Anolis sagrei: one gene and its partners. The protein of the gene in region 4 binds, or shares a complex with, the protein of the main gene of each other region. Links are inferred from orthologs where the notes say so. Each region holds a gene or a part of one and is shown on either strand. Other genes may lie near its edges.

What was found.
Region 1: POLR1H (region 4) and POLR2K share a complex: the UniProt entries of both Homo sapiens proteins name them as parts of the pol I pre-initiation complex. The link is inferred for Anolis sagrei from reciprocal best matches to the Homo sapiens genes POLR1H and POLR2K.
Region 2: POLR1H (region 4) and RRN3 share a complex: the UniProt entries of both Homo sapiens proteins name them as parts of the pol I pre-initiation complex. The link is inferred for Anolis sagrei from reciprocal best matches to the Homo sapiens genes POLR1H and RRN3.
Region 3: POLR1H (region 4) and UBTF share a complex: the UniProt entries of both Homo sapiens proteins name them as parts of the pol I pre-initiation complex. The link is inferred for Anolis sagrei from reciprocal best matches to the Homo sapiens genes POLR1H and UBTF.

Annotation. Positions count from the first base shown.
Region 1 is NC_090024.1:31,136,489-31,143,396, reverse strand, and holds the start of POLR2K (DNA-directed RNA polymerases I, II, and III subunit RPABC4), read left to right. Parts: upstream 1-3,898; 5' UTR 3,899-3,977; intron 3,978-5,864; 5' UTR 5,865-5,870; coding exon 5,871-5,931; intron 5,932-6,798; coding exon 6,799-6,891; intron 6,892-6,908. UniProt on the Homo sapiens protein: DNA-dependent RNA polymerase catalyzes the transcription of DNA into RNA using the four ribonucleoside triphosphates as substrates.
Region 2 is NC_090034.1:24,534,182-24,541,805, reverse strand, and holds the start of RRN3 (RNA polymerase I-specific transcription initiation factor RRN3), read right to left. Parts: upstream 3,005-7,624; 5' UTR 2,856-3,004; intron 906-2,855; 5' UTR 896-905; coding exon 803-895; intron 553-802; coding exon 496-552; intron 229-495; coding exon 139-228; intron 36-138; coding exon 1-35. Other genes in the region: transmembrane protein 238-like, read right to left, coding at 6,389-6,826. UniProt on the Homo sapiens protein: Required for efficient transcription initiation by RNA polymerase I (Pol I). Required for the formation of the competent pre-initiation complex (PIC).
Region 3 is NC_090026.1:44,541,054-44,547,967, reverse strand, and holds the start of UBTF (nucleolar transcription factor 1), read right to left. Parts: upstream 3,009-6,914; 5' UTR 2,917-3,008; intron 2,621-2,916; exon of another isoform or gene 2,490-2,620; intron 1,039-2,489; exon of another isoform or gene 852-1,038; intron 1-851. UniProt on the Homo sapiens protein: Recognizes the ribosomal RNA gene promoter and activates transcription mediated by RNA polymerase I (Pol I) through cooperative interactions with the transcription factor SL1/TIF-IB complex.
Region 4 is NC_090022.1:23,170,726-23,178,410, reverse strand, and holds the start of POLR1H (DNA-directed RNA polymerase I subunit RPA12), read right to left. Parts: upstream 3,002-7,685; 5' UTR 2,922-3,001; intron 649-2,921; 5' UTR 628-648; coding exon 498-627; intron 370-497; coding exon 272-369; intron 1-271. UniProt on the Homo sapiens protein: Core component of RNA polymerase I (Pol I), a DNA-dependent RNA polymerase which synthesizes ribosomal RNA precursors using the four ribonucleoside triphosphates as substrates. Can mediate Pol I proofreading of the nascent RNA transcript.

The DNA of each region.
Region 1 (6,908 bases), on a different chromosome or scaffold from region 4:
ACAATACATTGAGTTAGTAAATGCTGGCTGTGTGAAATTCCCATCCTTCAAAGCAGGACAACTTACCAAATTACTTGGAAGACCAGCAATTGCTTCAAATGAAGTGCTTCATTATTATTGGAGGAGGGAAAGTAAAACAAAGAAACCAATAACCCCCCCCCCCCAAGAGAACTACTAGTAGTAGTATCCTAACTAATTAATAAGTTAATTTGAAGCAAAGCATGGAGTTCACACAAAAGCAATGAGCACTGAGTCTAGTAACATTCTATGTGCGTTCTTCCTTCCTTCAGGAGCAGGCAAGGGGACAGACACAACTCTTCTCATGACACAACCAGCTGGAGAGTCACTACAAGGGCGTTGAAAGGAGGCAAGAGGAGGAGGAGGAGGAAGAGTGTGCCCAATGGAAGGGGGGTTTAAAGCGGGGAGGGAGAGGATGGTGTCCAAGGAGCAGCGCTGAACTCCTTCCCAGCGTTGCCTCGGAGAAGAAGGGAGAGCTCTGCAAAGAAGCATCAGCAGCCACTTCTCCTCTTCTTCTTCTTCCTCTTCCTCCCTGTTGCTTCAACCGGCTGCCCTCGTGCGCCTTCCTCCTCAGGGTTTCCCTCGCTCCATTTTGAACTACCCGCCTTTCCCAACTGATTAGGCTTCTCCCCTCCTCTTCCTCCTCCTCTTTGGCTGCCAAGGAGAGGAAGCCACAACAAGAAAGCCCAGCCAAGAAGGCAGCAGCAGCAGCAGCAAAGCGCCCAAGAGGCTTTCCTGCACTTCTTAGAACTGAGCCAGGGCAGTGAAAGTGACCTCAAGCTACATTGTTCCTACAATGTAATCCACAAATGTCAAAGTCATTGTCATTTTTGTTTGTCGAAGGCTTTCATGGCCGGAATCACTGGGTTGCTGTGAGTTTTCCGGGCTCTATAGCCATGTTCCAGAAGCATTCTCTCCTGACGTTTCGCCCACATCTATGGCAGGCATCCTCAGAGGTTGAGGGGTCTGTTGGAAACTAGGCAAGTGAAGATTATCTATCTGTGGAACGTCCAGGGTGGGGAAAAGAACTCTTGTCTGCGGATGTTGCAGTTGGCCACCATGATTAGCATTTAACAGCCTTTAATTGCAGTCCAACACACTTCTGGTTCTCATGTTGGGGAAAGGATAAGAGATATTTTCAAGTCAGACATCATATCCATAAGCTTTATATCTAAATTCAAACCCTTTTTCTCCAAACTAAACAGAACGAATTGCAGCCTTCCAGATGCTACTGTATCACAGTTCCCATCAGCTCTAGTCATGATGTCTCAAGAGGAGGAATGCAGGTATTGTAGCCCAGTGTCTATCAAAACACAGATGCACCCAAAGAATTGGTGATTTATTAAGGGGAGCCCCCAGTGGCGCAGTGGGTTAAAGCACTGAGTTGCTGAGCTTGTTGATCGAAAGGTCGCAGGTTCGATTCCGGGGAGCGGCGTGAGCTTCCGCTGTCAGCCCTAGCTTCTGCCAACCTAGCAGTTCGAAAACATGCAAATGTGAGTAGATCAATAGGTACCGCTCCGGCGGGAAGGTAACGGCGCTCCATGCAGTCATGCCGGCCACATGACCTTGGAGGTGTCTACGGACAACGCTGGCTCTTCGGCTTAGAAATGGAGATGAGCACCACACCCCAGAGTCAGACATGACTGGACTTAATGTCAGGGGAATACCTTTACCTTTACCTTTACACCAGGCATGGCAAACTTTGGCCCTCCAGGTGTTTTGGACTTCAACTCTCACAATACCTAACAGCCAGTGCTGTTAGGAATTGTGGGAGTTGAAATCCAAAACACTTGGAGGGCCAAAGTTTGACCATGCCTGTTTTACACTGTACAATTAATGCAGTCTGATACCACTTCAACTTTCAAGGCTTATGGGAATCATATTTTTCCAAGGTCCTCAGCCTTTTCTGTCACAGGGCTAGTGCAGTATCAAACTATAACTCCTATGATTTCATAGCATTGAGCCATAGCAATTAAAATACTCTCAAATATGTTAGATAAGAATGGGAATCACCTCCTCCTCTTTTTAAAGGTGTGATTGGCCCTCCTTTGGGCCAATGGTGAGGAAAGCTGAAAATTGGAATCCAGTAACATGTGGGGTTCATCTGCACTTAATACAGATATATCCCATGTGTTGCTGGTGGGTTTGACACAACTTTAATGACTACGGTCCAATGCCACGGAGTTGTAGTTGCTGGGATTTATAGTTCACCTACAATCAAAGAGCATTCTGAACTCCACCAATGATGGAATTGAACCAAACTTGGCAGACATAACTCCCATGAGCAACAGAAAATCCTGGAAGGGTTTGGTGGGCACTGACCTTGAGTTTTGGAGTTGTAGTTCACCTACATCCAGAGAGCACTGTGGACTCAAACAATGATGGATCTGGACCATACATGGCACAGATACTCAATATGCCCAAATGTGAACACTGGTGGAGTTTGGGGGAAATGGACCTTGACATTTGGGAGTTGTAGTTGCTGGGATTTATAGTTCCCCTACAATCAAAAAGCATTCTGAACCTCACCAATGATAGAACTGGGCCAAACTTCCCACACCAAACTGTGTTTTCTGATGGTCTTTGGTGACCCCCCCCCCCAGGGGTCCCAACCCCTAGGTTGAGAAACGCTGCTCTACACTATAGGATTGATGTAGTTTGATACCACTTTAACTGCCAAGGGCTCAGTACTGGGAATAATTTATTTATTATTTATTTAGAGCTTTTATAACCCTGTCTTCTCAACCTCTGAAGAGGGACTCCGGCCGGCTAACAGCAGAAAAGCTACCTATCTAACCGCATCTCGGCCTATGAACCTACCAGGACTTTGAGATCTTCCGAGGAGGCCCTGCTCTCGATCCCGCCTGCTTCTCAAGCACGGCTGGCGGGGACGAGAGATAGGGCCTTCTCGGTGGTGGCTCCTCGGCTGTGGAACGCCCTTCCTACCGACATTAGACTAGCATCATCTCTAATGGTATTCCGCAAAAAAGTGAAGACCTGGCTGTTTGTGCAGGCGTTCGAATAACTAGTGCAATGATTGGCAATGTACATAGGAATGGACAATGGATGACGAATCTGGATTATGTTTTGGACGATGAGACGATAGTGATTGGTTATTGTAGTAATTGTTTATTGATTGGGTAATGTGTTAAGTTGGTAATTGTTACATTATTGCATTGAATTATTGCTGTTTGTATTGATTGTGAACCGCTGTGAGTTGCCTTCGGGCTGAGAACAGCGGTATATAAGCAAAGTAAATAATAAGTAAATAAATAAATAAAAGTCAACACAAATATAGTAAACATAACAGCATCGTAATACATTAAAATACAGATCATACAATATCATACAAGTACAAAAGTCAGGTCGTCAGAATAAAATCACAATAAAATCATGGAAGTTGTAGTTCGACAAGGGCTTTAATCTCCTCTGCCAGACTGCTCGGTCCTCATGATTCCAGAGCAATTAGTCATTGCAGTTAAAGTGGTCTCAAACTGCATTAATTTGATAGTGTAGATACACCTAAAAAAGCCTAAAGCTTTCACTCTGATGTGAAATTGTAGTTGATATTAAGGGCCCTTCCAAACAGTCATATAACCCAGAATATCAAGGCAATATCTGCTTTGAACTGGGTTATCTGAGTCCACACTGCCATATATTCCAGCTAAAGCAGATAATGTGGGATTTTATTTAGCTGTGTGAAAGGAAGCAAAGAAAGCAACTGCTTCTTTAGTAAAGGTTAAGTTGCCAAGGCAAAGAAAATCAGTGTTAATTTTCAGCCTGTCCCTTTAAGAAAACATCGGAGAGGAGCAAATTCAAAACGCCTCCATGTGTCTGAATTGGAAAACTACTCCTAATGGAAGGGGCGGAGCTTAGGGTTTCTCTCCCCTTTGCAGAGCTTTCAAACGTCATCAGACTGCGCCGTCAGAGGAAGGAGTGCATGAGTTGTGCACGAGCTGGTAGGGCGCATTGTTTTCAATCAGATTGTTGATGGGAATTTTGTTTAGACGGGGCTGAAAGGGACTTTGGAGCACTTTAAGAGCATCTACACCAGGCATGAGCAAACTTGGACCCTCTAGGTGTTTTGGACTCCAACTCCCACCATTCCTAACAGCCTCAGGCCCCTTCCTTTTCCCCCTAAGCCGCTTAAGCGGCTGAGGGGGAAAAGGAAAGGGCCTGAGGCTGTTAGAAATGGTGGGAGTTGGAGTCCAAAACACCTGGAGGGCCCAAGTTTGCTCATGCCTGGTCTACACTGGATTTGAAGCAATTTGACACCACTTTTAACTGTCATGGCACAATACTATAGCATCAGGGGAGTTATTTTATAAGGTCTTCAGCTTTCTCTTCAAGATAATGCTGGTACCTTAATAAACTACATCTCCCACGAGTCAATTATATGGAGTCGTGACATTTAACAGTGGTATCAAACTGCATCAATTCTGCTGTGTAAATGCACCCCCCAAAAATGAAATTGATACCAGTTGAATAGCTCTTATTTGAAATGTTTGGATCCAGAAATCTTTTGGAGGAGATTTTGGAATGTCCGTATTTGCATAGGTGTACATAAGAAGACCTTGAAGGAGCTGGGGGTGGTGACGGCCGACAGGGAGCTCTGGCGTGGGCTGGTCCATGAGGTCATGAAGAGTCGGAGACGACTGAACAAATGAACAACAACAAACATAACAAGATCTCTTTCAGCCCTTCCGCACGACCATATAACCCAGAATATGAAGGCAGATCACCCACAATATCTGTTTTGAACTGGATTATTTGAGTCCACGCTGCCATATAATCTAGTTCAGTGTGGATTTTATACTACTGTGTGGAAGGGGTCTTAGAGATGGGACCCAAGTCTGAACATGAAATTCATTTGTGGGTTGTTGTAGGTTTTTCGGGCTGTATGGCCATGTTCTAGAAGCATTCTCTCCTGACATTTTGCCTCTGACATCCCCCTGTGACCCCCAGGCTGAAGAAACGCTGCTCTACATTATAGGATTGATGTAGTTCGATACCACTTTAACTGCCAAGGCATCCTCAGAGATTATGATGTTCAGACCTCACAACCTCTGAGGATGCCTGCCATAGATACAGGTGAAACATCAGGAGAGAATGCTTCTAGAACATAGCCATATAGCCCGAAAAACCTACAATGACCCAGTGATTCCAGCCATGGAAGCCTTCGACAATACAAATTCATTTGTGTTTCGTATAAGCCGTTTAGACAGTTTGTATATATTGAACCAGCAGAAAACAAAGGCACTGTTATTTCAACTGCCCTTGAAAACAGTTTGGATTTTAGAATTGCATATAAGGAATGCTGAACGTGTACCATAAGTTTTCACAAATTGGGTTGTTGTAGGTTTTTTCAGGCTGTATGGCCTCTAGACCATGGCCATACAGCCCGAAAAAAACCTACAACAACCCAGTGATTCCGGCCATGAAAGCCTTCGACAATACATTTTCACAAATTGTCTGCTTCCTCAGATGCATGGATTCCTTGAAAGTCCATGAAAGTTTATGCCAACCTTGTTCTCTTAGGGCCCTTCCACACAGCCATATAACCCATAATATGTACTTTGAGTTGGGTTATCTAAGTCCACACTGCCATTTATCCCTGTTCAAATCAGTTAATGTGGGATTTTATTCAGCTGTGTGGAAGGGGCTTCAATGAGACTCTAAGATGCTCCAAGATCTCTTTGCATATATGTTGAGTCTCATTTCCCTCTCTGGGCTTCTTCTTTGTAAACACATTAACAGTAAGATTGAAGGATGTTTGAAGGGCTGAAGGACGCTCTATGTGTTTGAAAGCTGTAATTGGTATGAATGAGTTGTCTTCCTTTTACTAGCAGAAGATGGACACCCAGACTGATGCACCTCCACCAAAGCAGCAACCAATGATATACATCTGTGGAGGTGAGTCCAGTGCAATGTCATTGTAGTAGGAAGAAGTCTGAAAATGAGACCCAAGAAAGTAGATGAAAATGACATCAAGGGTACTTCTAGAATACATTTTCACTCTGAAATTGCACTCCCTCTTTCTGGAAGCTTATGGGAGCTCTAGACAACAATGTCTTATATTTGTATCCTCCAGAAATAAGATTTGTTTCTTCTACCTTTCCTCATCTAAATTCCTTTAAGGATTAAAACAGAATAGAAGCACAGCTACTTTCATTCACTGGAATTATTCTGCTAAATCATTTGGGAAATTATTATTTGGGTATTGTGCTTATGATCATGGCCCAAATTGTCTTTAGGTAAATGAAATCACACAGCATTAAGTCATGGCAGCTAAAGTGGTGCCAAACTACATTTATTCTACAGTGTGTAGATGTATTCTTTTCTGGGCGTACTGCAGCTGCGTTGTTTTGCTTTAACATTTATCTGGTGCATACTCTCTACTACAAATCCATGTACTATCAGTGCACTGTGGGAAGGATACTAGTTTGTGTTTCAAAGACTGTAGTTCATGGTATATAAATATATTGTGTGAGCTGCATTGAGGATACTAAAAAACTCCTATATTAATGTATTGTTTTAACAAATTCCAACTTGTGAAATGTTAAGATTCTTTCATAATCACAGTGAACTTAAATTTATAGACTATGATGAGAGGTTCTTAATTCCACTATTTTAGTAAATAAATCAGTCAAAATCTGTACTTTTAAACAAGAATGTTTAAAAATTATAAAATGTCAAGTGCTTCTGTTGCTTTATTCTCAGTTCTTTTGCAGTTGGTTTCCAGGATTGGCCTCATAATGTAATTCTTTTTCTTCATTTCAGAATGTCACAAAGAAAATGAAATTAAAGCAAGAGATCCTATCAGATGCAGAGAATGTGGTTACAGAATAATGTACAAGAAAAGAACAAAAAGATGTATCCTTCTATATGTG
Region 2 (7,624 bases), on a different chromosome or scaffold from region 4:
ACTACAGCTGGGCTTCTTCTTAGCCATGACACCTTCTGCATTGTTATTATACATACAAGCATAAAAATTAAGCCCATGTACTAGAAAGAATGAATAAAATTCATCCACAAAACCCAGAAACGATTTGTGTATTCTTACCAACAAGATGGTGACCAGGTGTTCAAAATCCTTGGTCAAATGTGTCACAGAAGACCTGAATTCATGCAACCAGTTAATAATCTGGTCATCCTTAAAACAGAAACAATTTCATTTAATAACTCAATGTGGCAAACATGTGTAGAAATTATAAAGTGACAAGCATTACAAGTCTGTTTAGATCAATACTCTAAAATATGGTTAGGGAATGTTTGAATGAATCAGATTACTGATAAGAATTATAAACAACATGTCCAAGTCAGAACAGGCAAAAGTGATTGAAACATTTCATTATCTTAAATGTAAGAAATCATTAAATCGCTGAACACTACCTAAAACTCTGATGGAAAAAAAACTTACTTTAATGTCAGGATCCAACAGCTGATGCCTCAACAAATCAAAATCAATGGTATCTCCCTAAGAAGAGAAAAACAGCAAGGAGTAACCTGACAACATATTCTATGTCTCACAAGGGGTGACGTCGAGAAACTTATCTAAACATGTACAATAAAGATGGAACAATTAACTCTGGTTTTGCTATTTGATTTCTTATGAATAACTTATATATACTATCCAAGGCCAAACTTCCCAGACAAAAAGGTGACCCTTCAATTTGCACATCAGAACAGCAACACTTATGATTAATAATTGGGTACAGTAATGTTACCTTTTCATATTTGAGCAGGATTTCTGCCAACGATCCACCAAATCTGACTGTTTTCCTTGGTGGCGATCTCAGAAATTCATCTGTAGACAGCATGTTAGAAAGTCTAAACAACAAATGAAATCATAAGATGAAATATGCAAGCTATATTTAAAGCCAATGTGGTATAGTAGTTTGAATGTTGAATTATGGCTTGGGAGACCAAGGTCTGACTCCTGGATTAGCCAGGGAAGCCCACGGCTTGTCCTTGAACAACAGAGAAAGGCAGTGACAAAGACCTTCTGGGCAAATATTGCCAGGAAACCATATGAAAGAGGTTTGCCTTCGAGTTGCCGTAAGTCAAACTTGAGTTTGGAGGCACACAAGACAGTATTCATGTTAACCCAAGAGGTCAGGTCATCACAATTCTTGCATTCCTGAAAACTGTGCTGTTTATTTGCTCCTCTTGACTCCATCCCAAGCAAGGACACTAATTAGAAAGTAAAAACTTCCCATGACATAGACAGCATAGAACATGGTTTTACTGCAGCTTTTAGTCGCTTTGAGTCCCCTTCGGGAGAGATATAGAAGGGTATAAATAAACATAATAATAATAATAATAATAATAATAATAATAATACCGGCCAAGATCATAAAAACAGAATCCTGACTAGTTTGGGAGCAAAGGACAGAAAAGTGGCTTCAAGTATCATGAACTGCTTCCATTTGTTTTTATATTGTTTACTCTCTCTAGTATTCGTACAAGAAGTGAAAGTCACCGCAGTGCATATTAGTCCCTTACTGTGACTAGGATCACAGGAATCTTTGCTTCGCCTTGGACAGGGATGTGGCACTAAGGCCCCATCTATGCAGTCGTAGCTGTATTATATGACGGTATAGATGGGGCCTCCATTAGCACTTGGATTCTTTTGAGAGACATCTACGTTTCCATCACATGTGAAAGCTCCATGTAATCAATTAGTTTTCTATCCCATTCTCGGTCCAGACTTCCCATCTTTCAATAAATTCCTTTCTGTGGTGTTATTTCACTCACATAAATGCTGACCACTAGTTTCCAAAATCAATTTCTAACATCTAACCACTTTATACTGGGGCCCTATCTATACTTAAACCAGTTTCAAGCTGGTATTAAAGGAAGAGGTTTCGTTGTGCAGATGGTTACACAGGAAATACTGAAACTAGTTTGAGGCTTGGAGAGTGATGACCCAAACCCCAGAGCACTAAGGCACTGGAACAGCTTTCTTTCAGTTGTGAACCAACTTGGACACAGCATATTATTTGAGAACACAGATATGCTAGACCACTCTAATAACGAACATGTCAGACTACACAGATAAGCCACTGAAATCCAGAAGCATGTGGACAATTTCAACAGAAAGGAGGAAACCATTAAAATGAACAAACTCTGGCTACCAGCATTAAAAATCTCTAAAATTAAGACAGTAAATAAAGAACAACACTCAGAAAATTGGGGAATTCCAGACAAGAAACAATCAGGGCCAGCTAACACCTCCCAACAAAGGATTCCCCCAGGCATCAACCAGCCAGGCTTTGAAGCTGCAAGACCGTTCAATACTAATCAAGGTGGCCAATTGAAACATTCACAGTTTCCTCCGACAGACAAGAGTTCTTTCTTCCAACCCGGACATTCCACAGATATATAAACCTCGCCTAGTTTCCTCTGAGGATGCCTGCCATAGATATGGGCGGAACGTCAGGAGAGAATGCTGCTGGAACATTGCCAAACAGCCCGGAAAATTCACAGCAACTCAGTGATTCCGGCCATGAACGCCTTCAACAACACAGTTCTGATACCCTTTCACATACTGGAAAATTGCATAATAAGAACTTACGCTTTAATGTTATTGAACAGTTATTCACAACAGTCGTCGTCTTCCAAGGCCGTGCCCTGCCCAAGAGTGCTGGCGGCTCAAGAAGCTGCCAATCCCCCTGACTCCCCACACAGCACTCAGACATGGCTCCCATGGCTCACTGAGACGTGCCGAACTGCGTGTAGTATACAGTGAGGATGCCCCTAGGACCCGGCCCAACTCACCCTGGTTCAGCGGCGCCCTCCTTCGGACTACCACTGCTGAGTAACAAGCCTCCGCCAAGGTCTGAAGCCTCCGAAAGCCTCCGCGGGGTCCATGCTCTTCACGCCCAAGCCGGAAAGGCCTCCACTTCCTGCTCTGTCCCCGGAAGTTGGAAGCAGCGCCTGGTCCGGAGGAGAGCGGACTAGCGCCCCCTGCGGCAAGGCGTGGAACTTCCCCATCATCTCTTCACACTGTGTCTGTGAGATCTGTGCGTGGGCAAACTTCAGACCTCCTAGCATAAGTAAAAAAAGGATTATTATAGGCGGTAGGCTGTTAGGAATTGTAGGAGTTGAAGTCCAAAACACCTAGAAAGCCCAAGTTTGCCCATGCCTGCTATATATGCTTCTATGGATTATTTGGAACAAGATTGAGATTCTTTTACATTCCTTTTCACACATATTTGAATATGCAGCATCAGCTTTAAGTCTGGAGACCTCTACGCATTCATTATCCAGGCGTATGTTCTGCCGAATCCATAAACCAATGCTCATCAACCAAAGACACACCCTTCCCGTGTTGCTCTAACAGTGTTTCTCAACCTTCCTAATGCCGCGACTCCTTAATGCAGTTCCTCATGTTGTGGTGACCCCCAACCATAACATTATTTTTGTTGCTGCTTCATAATTGTAATGTTGCTATTGTTATAAATGTAAATATCTGATATGCAGAATTTATTTTCATTCATTGGACCAAATTAGACAAATACCCGATATGCCCAAATTTGAATACTAGTGGGGTTGGGTGGGATTGATTTTGTCATTTGGGAGTTGTAGTTGCTGTGATTTATACTTCACCTACAATCAAAGAGCATTCTGTACTCCACCAATAATAGAATTGAACCAAAGTTAGCACACAGAACTCCCATGACCAACAGAAAATCCTGGAAGGGTTTGGTGGGCATTGACCTAGAGTTTGGGAGTTGTACTTCACTGTGGACTCAAACAATGATGGATCTGGACCAAACTTGGCACGAATATTCAATATGCCCAAATGTGAACACTGGTGGAATTTGGGGAGAATAGACTTGACATTTAGGAGTTGTAGTTGCTGGGATTTATAGTTCATTACAATCAAAGAGTATTCTGAACCCCACCAATGATAGAATTGGGTCAAACTTCTCACATAGAAGTTTTGTATGGTCTTTGATGACCCCTCTGAAACCCCCTCATGAAACCGCCCAGGGGCCCTGACCTCCAGGTTGAAAAATTTAGAACTGGTGTTTCCAAACTTTGTACAGAGATAGGACCCTTGTTGGCAAGCCTCTTTGTCGTGTTCGGGGTTCATCTCAATTTGTTTTTCCTCATCCAGCCTATTACCTTCTCCATAATAATAATAATAACTGTGGTTTTATTGATCCAGCAAAGTAATCCTCTCCTATGTATCTATCTATTATATGCTTCTGTTATGACAGTGAAGACATCTGCCCTTGCACTTTGCTACTTTGTTGCTGAATACGTAAGTCTAGTGTGGAATACTTCTCACCACGTTAAAACAGTGGATGTGACTCCAACTGAGACATGCCACATTATCACAAAATGTCTACGCCCAACACAGCTGGAGAAATTGTACTATTTAGCTGGTATTGCATCACCTGGCATCTGTCGGGAAGTAGCAGTCAATAATGTAAGGACCAAGGCAGTGACATCTCCAGCCCATCCTCTGTTCAGATATCAGTCAGCACGCCAACGCCTTAAATCAAGAATTAGCTTCCTAAGATCTACAGAGATACTCACAGGAACACCTCAGCAAGTGAGAGTCCAAAAGTGGCAGGCTAAAACCCAGAACCTCAATCAGTGGTTGATACCGGATGAGAAACACCCTCCTTGGCACAGAGAAGACTGGGTGACATGGAAGACGCTGAACAGACTGTGTTCTGGCACCACAAGATGCAGCGCCAACCTTAAGAAATGGGGCTACAAATTGGAGTCCGCAATATGCAAGTGTGGAGATGAGCAAACCACAGACCACTTACTACAATGCAATCTGAGTCCCACCACATGCACAATGGCGGACCTTTTTACAGCAATATCAGAGGTACTCCAAGTGGCCACTAATGGTCAAAGGACATTTATTATAATGCCAAGTTTTTAACTTTGTGGTTTTTAAAATACATTATAACTGTATTCTCAAATCACTTCTGACATAATAAATAAAACATTTGCTTCTATTTAGAACGATATTCGTACATCTACGCTTAAAATACGGGCATCCACATCCTTGGAAGTATTAATATTATTTTCCTCTATACTACTATGGGAAAGGTTTTTAAAAAACATAAATTCTTTTTTATTCAGAATTCAAAGCTATCTTTAATTTCAACCATTTTAATTTAAACAACCAAATAAGTCTTATGTCACGTAAGATACAGGCAGTGGATTCCCCCCCCCCCCCACATATATTTAAAGTATATATATATATATATATTTTAAATATTTGTTAAGCGATGTAGCTCCATAGTCTATGGTTTTTCGGCAAAGAAAGCATTCATTTCTCAACAATATCCCATTTTCCGATGACGAAAACGATGTTCGTATTAATTTTGCACTAAAAGATGCATTTGTCGTGAATATTCCAACCTATATAGCAACCTTTTTGCTAATGCAAAAAGAAAACCTATAAATAAGAAATAAATACATACATAAATACAATAATCATCTTTGGGGAATTAGCTGCCATGTAGAAATGCAACATAAGGCTTCTTAAGTTCAATGGCAAGTCTTGCCAAGTTATCTTTCCTGTCTTGTATCTGAGTGTTTTGAAACGTCTGCATTGCTGTATTTAGAGAAGACAAAAATGGGAACGTTTCACGGGGAGGGAAGGCAGAGGCCTCTTTATCCTATTTAGTTGAGGATAAATTCACGAATGCTTTTTGTTCCAACTGAATTGGCTCCAAATAACCTGGTCTAGAAGACAATATGTATATTTTTTTAAATAACTTGGAAACGGTGACCGACTTGAGGCCACAATTCAAAGTGTAGGAAATATGGGAAATAGATGCGGCCCAGCTGGTACTTTGACAGTTAAAAAACCCACAGCCGCCATTATTGTTCCTCCTTGAAGGGATTCTTATGGCAGCTAGCCTTTTTCTAGGCCGACATGTTCACCAAATCTTTCTCAGGAGTTAGAGATTCAAATCCTTGCTTCAAAAGATGTGGGCCTATCTCAGGCATGGGAAAACTTGGGCCCTCCAGGTGTTTTGGACTTCAACTCCCACAATTCCTAACAGCCTCTGGCCCCTTCCTTTTCCCCCTCAACCGCTTAAGCGGATGAGGGGGAAAAGGAAGGGGCCCGAGACTGTTAGGAATTGTGGGAGTTGAAGTCCAAAACATCTAGAGGGCCCAGGTTTGCCCTTTTGCTTTTTGCATTCTCTTCTTTCTATTCATAAGCCACTTTGTGTGAGGAAAAAGCACGAGCGACCGAAGAAGGGAAGGCCTCGTTGGCTGTGCTAAGGTGGACATCGTCGTTGGAACAAGCAAGCGTGGATGGCGCATCTTCTTCAAAATCTTAGCCTCTTCTGCGACGGCGGGCTACCGGTCACTGTCTCTCCAACGGCAGAGTCAGCCTCAGTCTTCTTGTCAGAGTGGACCGGCTTTGAGTGGAAGGAGCCCGAGAGGTGCCTGCCAAGGGAGCGGACCATGAAACGGACCCGCCAGGCACGGCCTGTCGCTTCGGCCTCCATCGCCGCGGGCATGGCCTCCTCGCCCAAGCCTATGTCATCCTGCAGCTCATCCGGCGGTACCTCAATGTTGCCCACGTACCAGAAGACCCACCAAAGGAGGCTGAAGAGCAGGCCCACGCCCCCGCTGTAGATTAGCAGGTCTGCAAAAAAGACGTCCACGAAGGAACCCAGCAGCAGAAGCGACAGGCCCGCCGCGTCGAAGAGCAGTGCCATCCAGAAGGCCCCACGGCAACGACCTGCCCCGGCAGCCTCCATGATGCCTACTACACAAGGGCTACGGAAGGCCCACAGTCAGGATGGAAGGCCTCTTCGCCGTGTCTCTATGCGGACACAGCCTCTGCACAGACCTCTGAGCGACTGGTCCCAAAGACATCCCAGACTGGGATTATAACACTCTGTAAATACCTAGGACAGTGGTTCTTAACCTTCCTAATGCTGTGGCCCCTTAATACAGTTCCTCAAGTTGTGGTGACCCCCAACCATAATATTATTTTAGTTGCTACTTCATAACTGTAATTTTTCTACTGTTATGAATTGTAATGTCATTATCTGATAGACAGGATGTAGTTTCATTAATTGGACCAAATTTGGCACAAATACCCGATACACCCAAGTTTGAATACTGGTGGGGTTGGGGGGAACTGATTTTGTCATTTGGGAGTTGCTGGGATTTACAGTTAAACTACAAAGAGCATTCTGAAATCCACGAATGATGGAATTGAACCAAACTTGGCACACAGAACTCCCATGATCAACAGAAAATACTGGAAGGGTTTGATGGGCATGGACCTTGAGTTGAGGAGTTATAGTTCACCTCCATCCAGAGAGCACTGTGGGCTCACACAATGATGGATCTGGACCAAACTTGGCACAAATACTCAATATGCCCAATTGTGAACACTGGTGGAGTTTGGAGAAAATAGACCTTGACATTTGTGAGTTGTAGTTGCTGAGATTTATAGTTAACCTACTCAAAGAGCATTCTGAAATCCACCAATGATGGAACTGAGCCAAACTTGGCACACAGAACTCCCATGACCAACAGAAAATACT
Region 3 (6,914 bases), on a different chromosome or scaffold from region 4:
AGATTGTGCCTCCCTTTCCCATTAATTTTCAATCCCAATCGGAAGCTTCCTCTCAAACCAAATCCCCGCCATTAAACCACCTCATTTCCTTCCCCATATTGTATTATTTTCCCCCCATTCCCAACCGAAATCTTTATATTTTCAACCTCAATCCGAAACTTGGTTTCAATCCGAATCCCTTCCATTAAACCGTGCCTCTTTTTCTTCCCTATATTATATTATTTTCCCCAAATCGGAGGCTTCATTTCGACCCAAATCCCTTCCCTTAAACTACCTCCCTATGTCCCCCCCCCTCCAAATTATCTCAACCCGAATCCCTTCCTTATTATTTCCAACCAGGAGCTTTCTTCTCGACTGAAATACACGCCTCTATGCGATTTGCAATCCCAATCGGAAGCTTTTTCCCAACCCCAAATCCCTTTTTGTATTTCCCCAAATCCCTTCTCATATTTTCCCTTCCCTTCTTAAATTTTCCCCAACCCCAAATCCCTTCTTTCCCCAAACCCCTTGTATTTTCCCTTCCCCAACCCCATTATCTCCTTATATTTTCCCTTCCCCAACTCCATTCCCTTCTCATATTTTCCCAACCCAATTCCCTTCTTATATTTTCCCTCCCCCAACCGCAACCCCATTCCCTTCATAAATTTTTCCTTCCCCAACCCCATTCCCTTCTATTTTCCCTTCCCCAACCGCAAACCCATTCCCTTCTTATATTTTCCCTTCCCCAACCCCATTCCCTTCTAATATCCCCCTTCCCAATCCGAATCCCTTCCCTCCTTTTCTTACTACATCCTCCCTCTTCTTCCCCTTCTTTCTCCCCCAAAACAAGCCGCCTTGGTGGAGAAACCAACCTCTGGGGCGCCTCCGCAAAGAAAGAAAGAAAGAAAGGGAAGAAGAAGAAGAAGGGAGAAGCCGAAGCCAGGGCTGCTGCTGCCTTCGCCGCCGCTCAAAAGGAAGGAAGGACGAACCCGCCTCGTTGTGGCAAAAGCGAAAAGGGGAGGAGGAGGAGCAGCAGCAGCAGCAGGAGCCGGAGAGAGGAGCCGCTGCAGCAAGAGCCCCATCGGAGCCGCGGCTGGAGGAAGGGGGGCGGCGGGAGGGAGAGGAGAGGAGAGGAGGCGAGGAGAGAGAGAAAGAGGAGAGAGCAGCGAGGCAGGCAGCCATGAAGGAAGAAGGCATGGCCGGCGGAAGGGCTGCGAAGCTAGGCCTACCGAGGGGAGGCGCTCCCCGGGGGGATCTGGGCGAGGAAAGGCCGCGAGGGTGGCTCCCGCTACCCTCGCGGCCTTTCCTCGCCCAGATCCCCCCGGGGAGCGCCTCCCCTCGTGCACCCATTGGGAAGAAAACACCCCAAACCAATAAGCACCCATTGGCGTTGCTTTCTTTGCACAGAAAAGGCACAATAGGGTGGCCTTCACTTCCAAAATACATTTAAGGATTCCCTTTTTAGTCGGGGGTCAAAATAAACAAAAACGGGGAGGATTTAGACTTTACAAAGGGGGGAAAATTGGGGGTTCGGTTTCTCTTTTGATACCGAAAAAAGGGGAAGATTTGGACTTTGTAGGGGGATGATTAAGTGGGGGAAATTGGGGGTTCGGTCTCTTTTGACACCGCCAAAGGGGAAGATTTAGACTTTATAGAGGGAGGGTAAAGGGGGGAATTTGGGGGGGGGGGTTCAGTCTCTTGACACCGCAAAAAGGGGAAGATTTAGACTATAGGGGGAGGATTAACGGGAGGAAATTGGGGGTTCAGTCTCTCATTTGACACCGCAAAAAGGGGAAGATTTGGACTTTATAGGGGGTGGATTTAGGCTCCATAAAGGAGGGAAGATTTAGACTTTATAGGGGGAGGATAAAGGGGGGAAATTGGGGGTTCAGTCTCTCTTTCGACACAACAAAAAGGGGAATATTTAGACTTTATAGGGGAAGGATAAAGGAGGGAAAATTGGGGGTTCAGTCTCTATTTTGACACCGGCAAAGGGGAGAATTTAGACTTTATAGGGGAGGATTTAGGCTCCATAAAGGGGGGGGATATTTAGACTATAGGGGGAGGATAAAGGGGCGAAATTGTGGGTTCGGTCTCTTTTTGCCACCGCCAAAGGGGAAAATTTAGACTTTATAGGGGGTGGATTTAGGCTCCATAAAGGTGGGGAAAGGGGGAATATTTAGACTTTATAGGGGGAGGATTTAGGCTCTGAAAAGGGGGGAATATTTAGATTTTATAGGGGGAGGATTTAGGCTCTATAAAGAGGGGAAATTAGGAGTTCAGTCTCTCTTTGACACCACAAAAAGGGAAGATTTTAGACTTTATATTAGGGAAGAATAGAAGCGATTCAGTCCCTTTGCCAAAGAAGAGCCTTTCTTCCATGGCCGCCACTCGTGGCCCTTCTCTTTCCTGCTTTCGGCAGCCGCGTGGCAAAAAAACCCCCGACTTTCGAATCAATATATCCCCAAAAGTAAAGAACGGGTTGTGTTTTTCTTCCCCAGTTTGCTTACCGTTGCTGCAAGAGCCTCTCCTGCCTGTTTTCCCTTCTTGTTTGCTTGCAGCTGCTGCAAGAACCTCGCCTGCCTTGCCTTCCCCTTCCCTTCTTCTCGCCTGCTTGCTTCCTCCGGAGCGGCAACAAAAGCGCCTCCTTCCTTCTCTCTCTCTCCCTCCCTCTCCCTCCCCAGATGGCGGTGCTCACCCTCGGCTCAATGGCGAGCCAAGCCCCGGCTGCAGGAAAGAGAGGGAGAGAGGAGGAGGAGGAAGCAGGAGTAGCAGCAGCAGCAAGCAGAGGCTCTCCTCCTCCTCCACTTCGGATCGTGCCTTCCTCTCTCCCTCTTTCCCCCTCCCCTCCTCGCCCACCCACTCCTCGCCTTTGCCGCGGGGGGAAACATCTCCCCAGACAGACCGACCCCCCTATTCGTCCCCTGGCCTTCTTACCTGCTTCTCGGGGAAAAGGCAGCAGAGAGAGGCTCGTTGTTTCCGGAGGAGCGCGGGTTGACTGCACGCCAGCTCTGCAGCGCTGGCCCCGGGCGTGGACTCCTCGCTCCCGTCCCCGCAGAGAGAGCTGGCGCGGCTTTCCCCCGCCTCCATCGCGCTCGCTGTTGCTGCTGCTGCTGCCTCTGCCTCCTCTCTCTCTCTCTCTCTCCCTCCTCTCTCTCTCTTCCAATCCGGATCCTTCAGGCCAGAGCTGCTCCTGCTTCCCTTCCTCCTTCTTCTCCTTCTCCTCCAAGGCAGGACCCATCTTGGCTGCTTCCTCCCCGCCTCCTCTCTCTTCCCTCTCTGTGCTCTTCTGTCCGCCTTTCCTTTTTGCTTCTCTCTTGTGTTTTTATTGCTCTTTTGCTTGTGCAACACTGTTGTACTCCAACCAGAAGGGAGGGGGGAAAAGAGAGAGAGAGAAAGAAGGAAGGGAGGAGGAGGAGGAGGGGGCCAAGCCCTACATTTGCCACAAATCCTCTCCTCTTCTCCGTCTCTTCTTCCTTTTGGCGGGGATCACAAATCACACACGCACTGCAGTCGGGTTTTTAATTCCTCCTGAGACCTCCCCCTTTTTTCTCTCTTTCTCTTTTCAAAAGGAAAGAGAGATAGAAAAAGATCCGTTTCTATGATGCCCAAAGCAAACCATTCTTTTCTGCCACTGCGGACATGTTTTTTTTTGCAACTGAGCCATCTTTTTTTTTTAAAGGGTCCCTCTTTTGTTTGACTTGTAAACAACTAGTAAGAAAAAAAACAAACCCAAAAGGGACACTCCTCTTTTGATTTTTTTGTGGAGGGGGAAAAAAAATTAATAATCATGACGTTTTTCCAAAGCCAAAAAGGCAAGCTTGTCTTTTTTTCCCCTCCTCCCTCCTCGTTTCTGTCTCTCTCTTTTTTAAATTTTTTTTTTTTTTTTACTTTCCGAGCTCCACCTTTGTTGTTAAGGGCGTCATCTCCGGCTCCAGCCAATCCTCGGCTTTGGGAGCTGTCTGTCAAATTAACGCCGCTTCCAATGCGCAAAAGCGACTCTTTGACGCGCAGACGAAGACGCCATTAGGTGTATTTTTTATGGTGAGAGGTAGGCGGGTTCAGCCAGATCTATGCAGTCCTCTTCCCCCGCCTTAAAGTAATAATCATAAATAGTATGGGATTCCATTGCCTTTATTTTCTGCTCCGATTTGTAAATAGAAGAAGATTTAGACCATGACCATACAGCCCGAAAAAACCTACAACAACCCAGTGATTCCGGCCATGAAAGCCTTCGACAATACATAGAAGAAGATTGTCTATAGGCCCTCCCAGACAGGCCTTCAGTCCCAGGTTTTCTGCTTTAAATTGGATTATGTTGTTGTTGTTCATTCGTTCAGTCGTCTCCGACTCCTCGTGACCTCATGGACCAGTCCACGCCAGAGCTCCCTGTCGGCCGTCACCACCCCCAGCTCCCTCAAGGTCAGTCCAGTCACTTCAAGGATGCCATCCATCTTGCCCTTGGTCGGCCCCTCTTCCTTTTGCCTTCCACTTTCCCCAGCATAATTGTCTTCTCTAGGCTTTGCTGTCTCCTCATGATGTGGCCAAAGTACTTCAACTTTGTCTCTAGTATCCTTCCCTCCAATGAGCAGCCGGGCTTTATTTCCTGGAGGATGGACTGGTTGGATCTTCTCGCAGTCCAAGGCACTCTCAGAACTTTCCTCCAACACCACAGCTCAAAAGCATCGATTTTCCTTCGCTCAGCCTTCCCTAAGGTCCAGCTCTCACATCCGTAGGTGACTACAGGGAATACCATGGCTTTGACTAGGCGGATCTTTGTTGCCAGTCTGATGTCTCTACTCTTTACTATTTTATCGAGACTGGACATTGCTCTCCTCCCAAGAAGTAAGCGTCTTCTGATTTCCTGGCCACAATCTGCATCTGCAGTCATCTTTGCACTTAGATTATATTAAATTGGATTATACTACCTTCGTTACTTGGGTTTGGATGGGAATCTTATCAATCTTCTTCTATCTTCTATATCAGGGGTCCTCAAACTAAGGCCCAGTGGCTGGATGTAGCCCTCCAAGGTCATTTACCTGGCCCTCGCTCAGGGTCTACCTAAGTCTGAAGTGACTTGAAAGCACACAACAACAATTATCCTATCACAACAGCCAAAAGCAGGCCCACACTTCCCATTGAAATACTAATAAGTTTATAGTTGTTAAAATTGTTCATTTTAATGTATTGTTTTTAAGTGGGGTTTTTTTTGCACAACAAATAAGATATGTGCAGTGTGCATAGGAATTCATTCATGTTTTTTTCAAATTATAATCCGGCCCTCCAACATTTTGTGGGACCATGACCTGGCCCTCTGTTTAAAAAGTTTGAGGACCCCTGTTCTATATAAATAAAAATATAATATTCGTTTGTGGGATTAACAGAACTCAAAAACCAGTGGGCGAATTGACACCAAATTTGGACACAAGACACCTAACAATCCAATGTATGTCCTTCACTCAAAAAAATTGATTTTGTCTTTTGGGAGTTGTAGTTGCTGGGATTTATAGTTCACCTACAATCGCATGATAAAACTGAACCAACCGGGTCATACAGGACTCCCATGACCAACAGAAAACACTAGAAGGGTTTGGTGAGCATTGACCTTGAGTTTGGAAGTTGTAGTTCACCTACATCCAGAGAGCACTGTGTATTCAAACAATGATGGATCTGGACCAAATTTGCCACGAATATTCCATATGCCGAAATGTGAACACAGATGGAGTTTGGGGGAAATAGACGTTGACATTTGGGAGTTGTACTTACTGGGATTTATAGTTCACCTACAATCAAAGAGCATTCTGAACCCCACCAACGACATAACTGGGGCAAACTTCCCACACAGAACCCCCATACTTGAGGTTATCCAGTCCAAGTCCCTTCACCAGGGCAAGAAAACGTAAATCAAGACCCTCCTGACATTTTTATTTATATAGATGATTCACACACAGAGATTTAAGGCGCTCCATTGGCTGCCGTTTACCTACCAAACCCAATTCAAGGTGCAGGTGCTTACCTACAAAGCCCTAAACGGTTTGGGACCTGCCTACCTGCGTGACCGCATCTCCGTGTATGAACCCACACGATCCCTTCGTTCATCCAGAGAGGCCCTGCTTATGATCCCACCTGCATCACAGGCATGTTTGGTGGGGACGAGGGACAGGGCCTTCTCTGGTTGCCCCTTGACTCTGGAACACCCTCCCCAAAGACATTAGACTAACTAGCACCCACGTTGGCAGTCTTCAGGAAGAATCTGAAGACCTGGCTATTCCGATGTGCCTTTCTGGAATAGGATAATCTCCAGCACTACGTCCCAGAAGCACTTTATTAGAGTTTAAGACTCTCTGCACATTGCACTTGCCCGGAAATCCAAATACCACCTGCCAGACCCAGCACTTTTTAACTTGTACCCATCACTGGCCTGGCCCTGGTTTTTATTGCATAATTGATGTATTGTTTTTATTGCTTATGTTTTTATTTTGCTTTAAATTGTACTGTTATTGTTTTGCTGTTGTTGTGTTGAGGCCTTGGCCTTTGTAAGCCGTATCGAGTCCTGCGGGCGATGCTAGCGGGGTACAAATAAAGTTTAATAATAATAATAATATGTAATTTCTTTATACTTGTGGGTAAACAGTATTTCTTATTAGGTTCTTGTGGGTTTTTTCGGGCTATAGGGCCATGTTCTAGAGGCATTTCTCCTGACGTTTCGCCTGCATCTATGGCAAGCATCCTCAGAGGTAGTGAGGTCTGTTGGAATTAGGACAATGGGTTTATATATCTGTGGAATGGCTGGAGTGGGGCAAAGAGCTCTTCCCTGCTGGAGCTAGGTGTGAATACACCTATCAGGCCAACGAGTGACCTTCACTCATAAAAACACTGAAAAACACTGCAGAAAGGGCTTAAAAAGTTAAAAAATCAGAGCTCAGCTTTCATTT
Region 4 (7,685 bases):
GGCACTACACCACCAGTCCTTTTGACACATCTTGTTCTCCCTTTGGAATAAAGCACAATGGGGAACTTGTGGCACCCCCAAATATTGATCAAAGACTTCTTCTATCATCCATCATCACTGATCAAGCTGGCTACGGTTGATGGAAACTACAGTCTAAATGGCCACAGGTTCTCCAGCCATGATAAAAGGAAATAGGATTTCATATGTTTTGCTATAGACACATGAAATTATTAGCATTATAATTACTCATTTCACTTCCCCATTCACTCACCAGTGGTCCTTTGACTGCTTTTCCTCCATCCACTTCCGAAGATGTGGTATCTGTCCTGTTGAAGGTGACTGATGTATCAATAACTCTCTTTTCAAATTCTGTGAAGTTAATAAACACATGTGTAGATAAGAAGCATATGTACTCTAACTCACCCATTTTTAAAAAACATGTTTACTAAATACCCCACCTCCGGTTATGGAATATTCTAGAGGCAGAAAGCCCTTACCTTGCACATCAATGAAGAAGGCGCAATAGCGACATGCCACCTTATCCTGAAGACCTGGTAATGGAAGGACTGTACCACATTCAGGACAGAAATCTAGTTCTGACTCAAAGCAGGAACTATTCTGTTCCATATTGACCAAGGAGAAGACAGACTGTAGGAGAGGGAAGATGTATAGGTTGAGCATCCTTTAATTATAATTCCTGTGCGATTAGAATCCCTCTGTATCCAGAGAGCCCACATCAACAGATTCAACTATACATGACTTGAATCTATCGATCTATCTATCTATCTATCTATCTATCTATCTATCTATCTATTTATAAAGGCTATGTTCGTTTTGAGTAACATCACAACTCAAAAACCGCTGGACTAATTGCCAGCAAATTTGGTCACAAGTTACCTACTAATCCAAGGAGTGAGCATCACTAAAAAATTAATCTTGTCATTTGGAAGTTGTAGTTCCTGGGATTTATAGTTAACCTACAATCAAAGAGCATTTTGACCTCTCCCAACGATGGAATTGAACCAAACTTGGCACACAGGACTCCCATGTCCAACAGGAAACACGAGAAGGGTTTGGTGGGTATTGACCTTGAGTTTTGGAGTTGTAGTTCACCTACATTCAGAGAACACTGTGGACTCAAATAATGAAGGATCTAGACTAAATTTGGCACGAATAATCCATATGCCTAAATGTGAACACAGATGGAGTTTGGGTAAATAGACCTTGAGTTGTAGTTACTGGAATTTATAGTTCATCTATAACCAAATAGCATTCTGAACCCCAGCAACGATAGAATTGGGCCAAACTTCCCACACAGAACCCCCATGACCAACAGAAAATACTGTGTTTTTTGGTGGTCTTTGGCAATCCTTCTGACGCCCCCTGACGACCCACCCAAGGGGTCCCAACCCCCAGGTTGAGAAATGCTGTGTTAAGGCCATCTAGTCCAACAACCTTCACCAGGGCAAGAAAACATAATCAAAGCCCTCCTGACAAAGAGCCATCCAACTTCCCCAGCTTCCTGAGCTGAGGGTTAGGGTTAGGGTTCCACATCTGAACATTAGGAAGAACTTCCTGACTGTGAGAGCCGTTCAGCAGTGGAACTCTCTGCCCCGGAGTGTGGTGGAGGCTCCTTCTTTGGGAGCTTTTAAGCAGAGGCTGGATGGCCATCTGTCAGGGGTGCTTTGAATGCAATATTCCTGCTTCTTGGCAGGAGGTTGGACTGGATGGCCCATGAGGTCTCTTCCAACTCTATGATTCTATGATTCTATACACACAGAGACATATGTATATGACAGATATTGTATCATAGATTTTCAAAAGGTCCCTAAAGAAGAACAATTATATGTTGCATGTTTCAGAGTAGGCAAACCAGACAATCAACACTGACAAAGAAACAACAAGAAATACTATTTACCTGCAAGCATAAAGAAATTACATCATTATCTATATAAATAAAAATGTAATGTTCGTTTTTGATATTCATAGAACTCAAAAACCACTGGGGGAATTGACACCAAATTTGGACACAAGACACCTAACAACCCAATGTATGTCCTTCACTAAAAAAAAAAATATGATTTTGACATTTGGGAGTTCTAGTTGCTGGGATTTATAGTTCACCTACAATCAAAGAACATTCTGAACCCCACCAACGATGGTATTGAACCAAACGACACACAGTTCTCCCATGACCAACAGAAAATACTGGAAGGGTTTGGTGGGCAGTGTCCTTTGGTTTTGGAGTTGTAGTTCACCTACATCCAGAGATCACTGTGGACTCAAGCAATGATGGATCCACAACTCTACAAGAATACTCAATATGCCCAAATGTGAATACTGGTAAAGTTTGGGGAAAATGGAATCTTGACATTTGCCGGGATTTATAGTTCACCTACAATCACAGAGCATTCTGAACCCCACCAACGATAGAATTGGGCCAAACCTCCCACACAGAACACCCATGTGGGCCACAGCAACGCGTGGCAGGGGACGGCTAGTTATATATTAGAAACCAACACTTTCTCATTACTTTGTTTTCCAGATCACTAGACTGGGCCACAACAACACATGGCACCAACACACACACACATAATTTAAAAAGCAAGAGCCCTGATTTTACTATTTTATATAAGCAACTATGCCATTGTATATACAGCATTGGGATTAGAGAATGCATGGGCAAACTTGGGCCCTCCAGGTGTTTTGGACTTCAACTCCCACAATTCCTAACAGCCGTAGGCTGTTAGGAATTGTGGGAGTTGAAGTCCAAAACACCTGGAGGGCCCAAGTTTGTCCATGCCTGCCTTAAGAGCTGGTGTCTCACCAAACTTCAAATCCCAAGTGTAGATGCACACCTAAAAAGCAAAAAATCTTAAGTAAGCTCTGAGCCTAATCTAATGAACAGCCCTGATTCTTACCGACTCTAATCCAGGTGCTCCACGTGGGTTCACAGGCAGAACTCACTTCCTTTCTCGGAGAGACGAGCTCGGAGGGAACTTGAGCTAGAGCGCCTCCACTCCATGAGCACTTCCGCTCTGTTTCAAAGCGGAGATACAGTGTAGCCAGTTCTATGGGAGCTTAGCACGTTTGATTATTTAGTTTAGTATTCTGTCCCTTTGAACACACTCAATGTCTTCTTCCCCTCCGTCTTGATTCTCCTTTCTCCAAATAATCGGGATTCAAATGTTCTTTTTTATTGTATTGTTTTAACTGACCACCTTAATTAGCATTTGATGGCTTGACAGTGCCTGGGGGAATCTTTTGTTGAGAGCTGATTAGATGTGCCTGATTGTTTACTCTCAACAAAAGATTCCCCCAGGCACTGCCAAGCCATCAAATGCTAATCAAGGTGGTCAGTTGAAACATTCACACCTAGCTCCAGTGGACAAGAGTCCTTTGTCCCACCCTGGTCATTCCACAGATATATAAACCCCCTTTTCCTAGTTCCAACAGACATCAAATGCTAATTAAGGGGGTCAGTTGAAACATTCACACCTAGCTCCAGCAGACAAGAGTCCTCTGTCCCACCCCAGTCATTCCACAGATATATAAACCCATTTTCCTACTTTTCACTACCTCTGAGGATGCTTGCCATAGATGCAGGCGAAACGTCAGGAGAAAATGCCTCTAGAACATGGCCATATAACCCAAAAAAACCTACAACAACCCAGTTCTTTTTATTTTTGTAGACAGTCAGATCTCTGTATCCACGGGTTCTGTTTCCACGGATCCAGCCAAACATAAATTTAAAATATTCCCCCCTCCACACTAAAACAAAATCTCAAAAGCAATAATAACTATCATACACCCCTAGAGGACTCATCATACACTTTATTTATATTTCGCCCTTCTCCCCTAGAGGACTCAGAGCAGATTACAGCATCTACATTTATTGATTGATTGATTTACCATATTTATATACCACCTTTCTCAGCCCGAGGGCGACTCAGGGCAGTTTACAAACGGCACAATTCGATGCCCCCAACAACATAAAACAATTAAAAACATTTGGCATAAATAGTAAAAACCAATAAAAACCAAAATCCTCAGCATCTCATTACTAAAATCATTATCCAATCATTATCCAGTAGAATACCAAGTATGCAAACTTTGTGTGTTGTTTGTTTGTTTGTTTGTGTTTAATGCAATACAACTGTTTTGGTTTGCTCCTGACACGATATATAAATAATTATCCAATTGCATTGTCGTTCCGTAGATCAGAGTTGTCTGCTACACTGCATTTGGAAATGCTTGCTCAAAAGGTCAAGTTTTAACTTTTTTGCGAAATTATAGGAGGGTGGGGCCGATCTGATATCCCTAGGGAGGGTGTTCCACAGCCAAGGGGCCACTGCTGAGAAGGCCCTGTCCCTCGTCCCCGACAACCAAATTTGTGACGAAGGCGGGACCGAGAGCAGGGTCTCCCCAGATGATCTTAGAGTCCTAGATGGTTCATAAGGAGTGATACATTTGGATAGGTAAGCTGGGCCAAAACCATTTAGGGTTTAATAGGCTAAAGCCAGCACTTTGAATTGTGCCCGGTAGCAGACTGGCAGCCAGTGGAGCTGATGCAACAGGGGGGTTGCATCAGGGGAGTGCTGCTCCTGTTAACAACCTGGCTGCCGCATGCTGGACCATTTGAAGTTTCTGAACAGTCTTCAAATGCAACCCCATGTAGAGAGCATTGCAGTAGTCTATACGGGATGTAGCCAGAGGGTGGATTACCGTGGCTAAATCAGACTTCCTAAGGTATGGGTACAACTGGTACACAAGTTTTAACTGTGCAAATGCTCTCCTGGTCACCGCCAAGACCTGGGGTTCCACACTCAGTGATGAATCTAGGATCACTCCCAAGCTGCGAACCTGCAATCCCCCGTGTATCCCCGTCCAACACAGGCTGTAACCCTATGCCCTATTCAGCCTTGCAACTGACCAGGAGGACCTGTCTTGTCTGGATTCAGTTTCAACTTGTTCGCCCTCATCCAGACCATCACAGCCATTATTATTATTATTATTATTATTATTATTATTATCCTTCTTAGTAGCAGGCAAACATAGGCAAATAGTCAATGCATTTACAATCATATACAATGAGACACATAAACACAAACAAAGGCAGAAGCAAGTTTTGTTTTTGCCATTTTAGGCAAGTGACATTTCACCATGACATTGTATATAACACTATGTAACATTTTTTTAAAAAAAAAATCTGTTTCTGGTTTGAAAGTGTTTCCTGTTTAATAGTACAGTACTTACTTGAAAGTAGTTGTCATAGTCCAGAAACTTCGTTTTTTGTGACTGCCACGAACTGTGTTGAATTGGTTGAGATTTGATGAGAAATTGAAAAACTATAGCAAGATGTGTTGCAGGATGTCCCGCAAAAAACGAAGTTTAATAAACCTTTTCCACGATCTTATGATAGAACCAATTAGAAAATGACATTTATAATCCACGAACAAAAATAGTGTAATGGGACTTGTACACCCATGGATTTTGGTATCCAAAACCCAGTGAATGGCAAGACCCTACTGTACAATCAACAGATGTAAAGAGGCATTCAGTCACACATTTTGTGGAACCAATCTAGAGACACTTTGTCTCAATCTTTCTCTCTACTTCTCTGGTTGGATCTACACTGCCCTGTATCACAGATTATCTGCTTATCCCAGGTTATCTGGCGGTGTAGACTCATATAATCCAGTTCAAAGCAGATCATCTGAGATAAGATCCTGGAATATAGGGCAGTGTAGATCCAGCCTCAGGCCTCTTCTCCACTGCTATATAATCCAGTTCAAAGCAGATAATCTGGATTTTATATGGCAGTGTAGAAGGGGCCTCACTCTCCCTGGGGACTTTATGTTATAGCAGGGCTTCTTAAACTTTTGCACCTAGGAGACCCCTTTTAGCCCAGTCATATTTTATGTGACCCCAGATATATAGGTATACAAAATTGGTATAAACATCAAAAATGTACTGGTAGAAAATTGGGATTTGCAAGGTTGGCTAAACATGCTGGGTTTCCTTTTTATGAAGTACAGCTGAAGCATCTTCTGCAGAGACTACTGTAAACACTGCACAACAGATTCATGTAAATGGCATTCAGAAAGACTTTTACTGTTGCCATTTGCAGGGGGGGGGGCACTCCAGCATTGAGCTCAGGGGACCACATTTGAGGTTGGGCCCAATTGTTTAAGAACCAATGTGTTATTAGGATAAGATACAGGTATTATTAACAAACCATTCAAATCACTGCATTCTCAGGCCTGGCTACCATTCCATTCCTGTCTATCACTTTGCTTCCTATCACTTTCCATCTCTCTTGGCAGATTGCTACAAGTGAACATTACCTCCTCCTGCATATCAAAAGTTTTGTGCATTTTTGTCAGTCATATTCCCTAAAAAGTGTATTCAGTGCTTCAGACTGAAGTTTTTGCCATTTATTTGAATAATGCCACAAGGTGGCACCAACTCTGGAAAAAAAAAGCTGTGCCTTTTTAAAGTATACTTTTCTCCTCAAAGCTAATCTCAGTTGGGAGATTATCAAAACACATCCAGTCTGTCCCATCAAATCTTGGAAGCTAAGCAGGCTCAGCCCTGGTTAGTACTTGGACGGAAGTACCACCAACAAATACTAGATGCTTTAGTCTCTATTTCAGAGGAAGGAACCAGCAAAACTATCTTTAGTATTCCTTTCCCAAGAAAGCCCTATAGAATTCATGAGGCATGATGAAGGCACAATACAAGCATGGACAAGGCCAGAGCTCTTTAAAGTTTTCCCACTTGCAGCCCCTTTTCCCCTGAACTTTTTTTTACATGACCCCAGATATATAGGTATATAAAATAGATATAGAAAGCAAATGTTTATTGAAAGAAATTTATTTTAAAACAACTCTTTGGTTTACATATAATGTTACCATTTATTTAAGATGAAAGCGAACATACATACTAATGAGATGGGTGCATTTGTTTATTTTTACATGAAGAATTAAATCTTGGTCGAATATTTGATATTTCGGCATGTAATAATAATAATAATAATAATACACTTTATTTATATTCTGCTTTATTTCCCCAGAGGGACTCAGAGAGGATTACAGTTTTACATATATAAGGCAAACATTCAATGCCTTTTTACATAGTGAACAAACAACATGCAAAACACAGACAGAAGTAAAGGCCTCCCTCTTTCCATCTCCGGCATCTGGAGGTGATGCTCATCTTCAGCCATGGGGAGGTGCTCTTGTTCCATTTTTCCATACTGAGGAGCCTATTGTCCATAGACTTTCTCTGATGCTGCCAGCATGTCTGCATGGGGCACCCTTTTACCTCCCTGCAGAGGTAGTACCTATTGATCTACTCGCATTACATGCTTCTGAACAGCTAGGTAGGCAGAAGCTAGGGCTCACAACTGGGAGCTCACCCTGACTCGCAGCTTTGAACTTCTAACCCTCTGGACAGCAGATTTTCTGGAGCTAGCAATTTTAACCACTGCGCTACTGTGGCCCATTTTTTCTCTTAAATTGGGAGAGCACAATGGGGTGTTTTAGGGCTCCATCCCTCCAACTTTAAAAGGACCTGGGTTGCAAAGTGGGGTCATGTACCTTAAATGGGCCAACATCCACTTCCCTCTTGTTCCCATCATCCTTTCTTCCCCACAAAACAAATAGGTGGCATCATACTTTCCC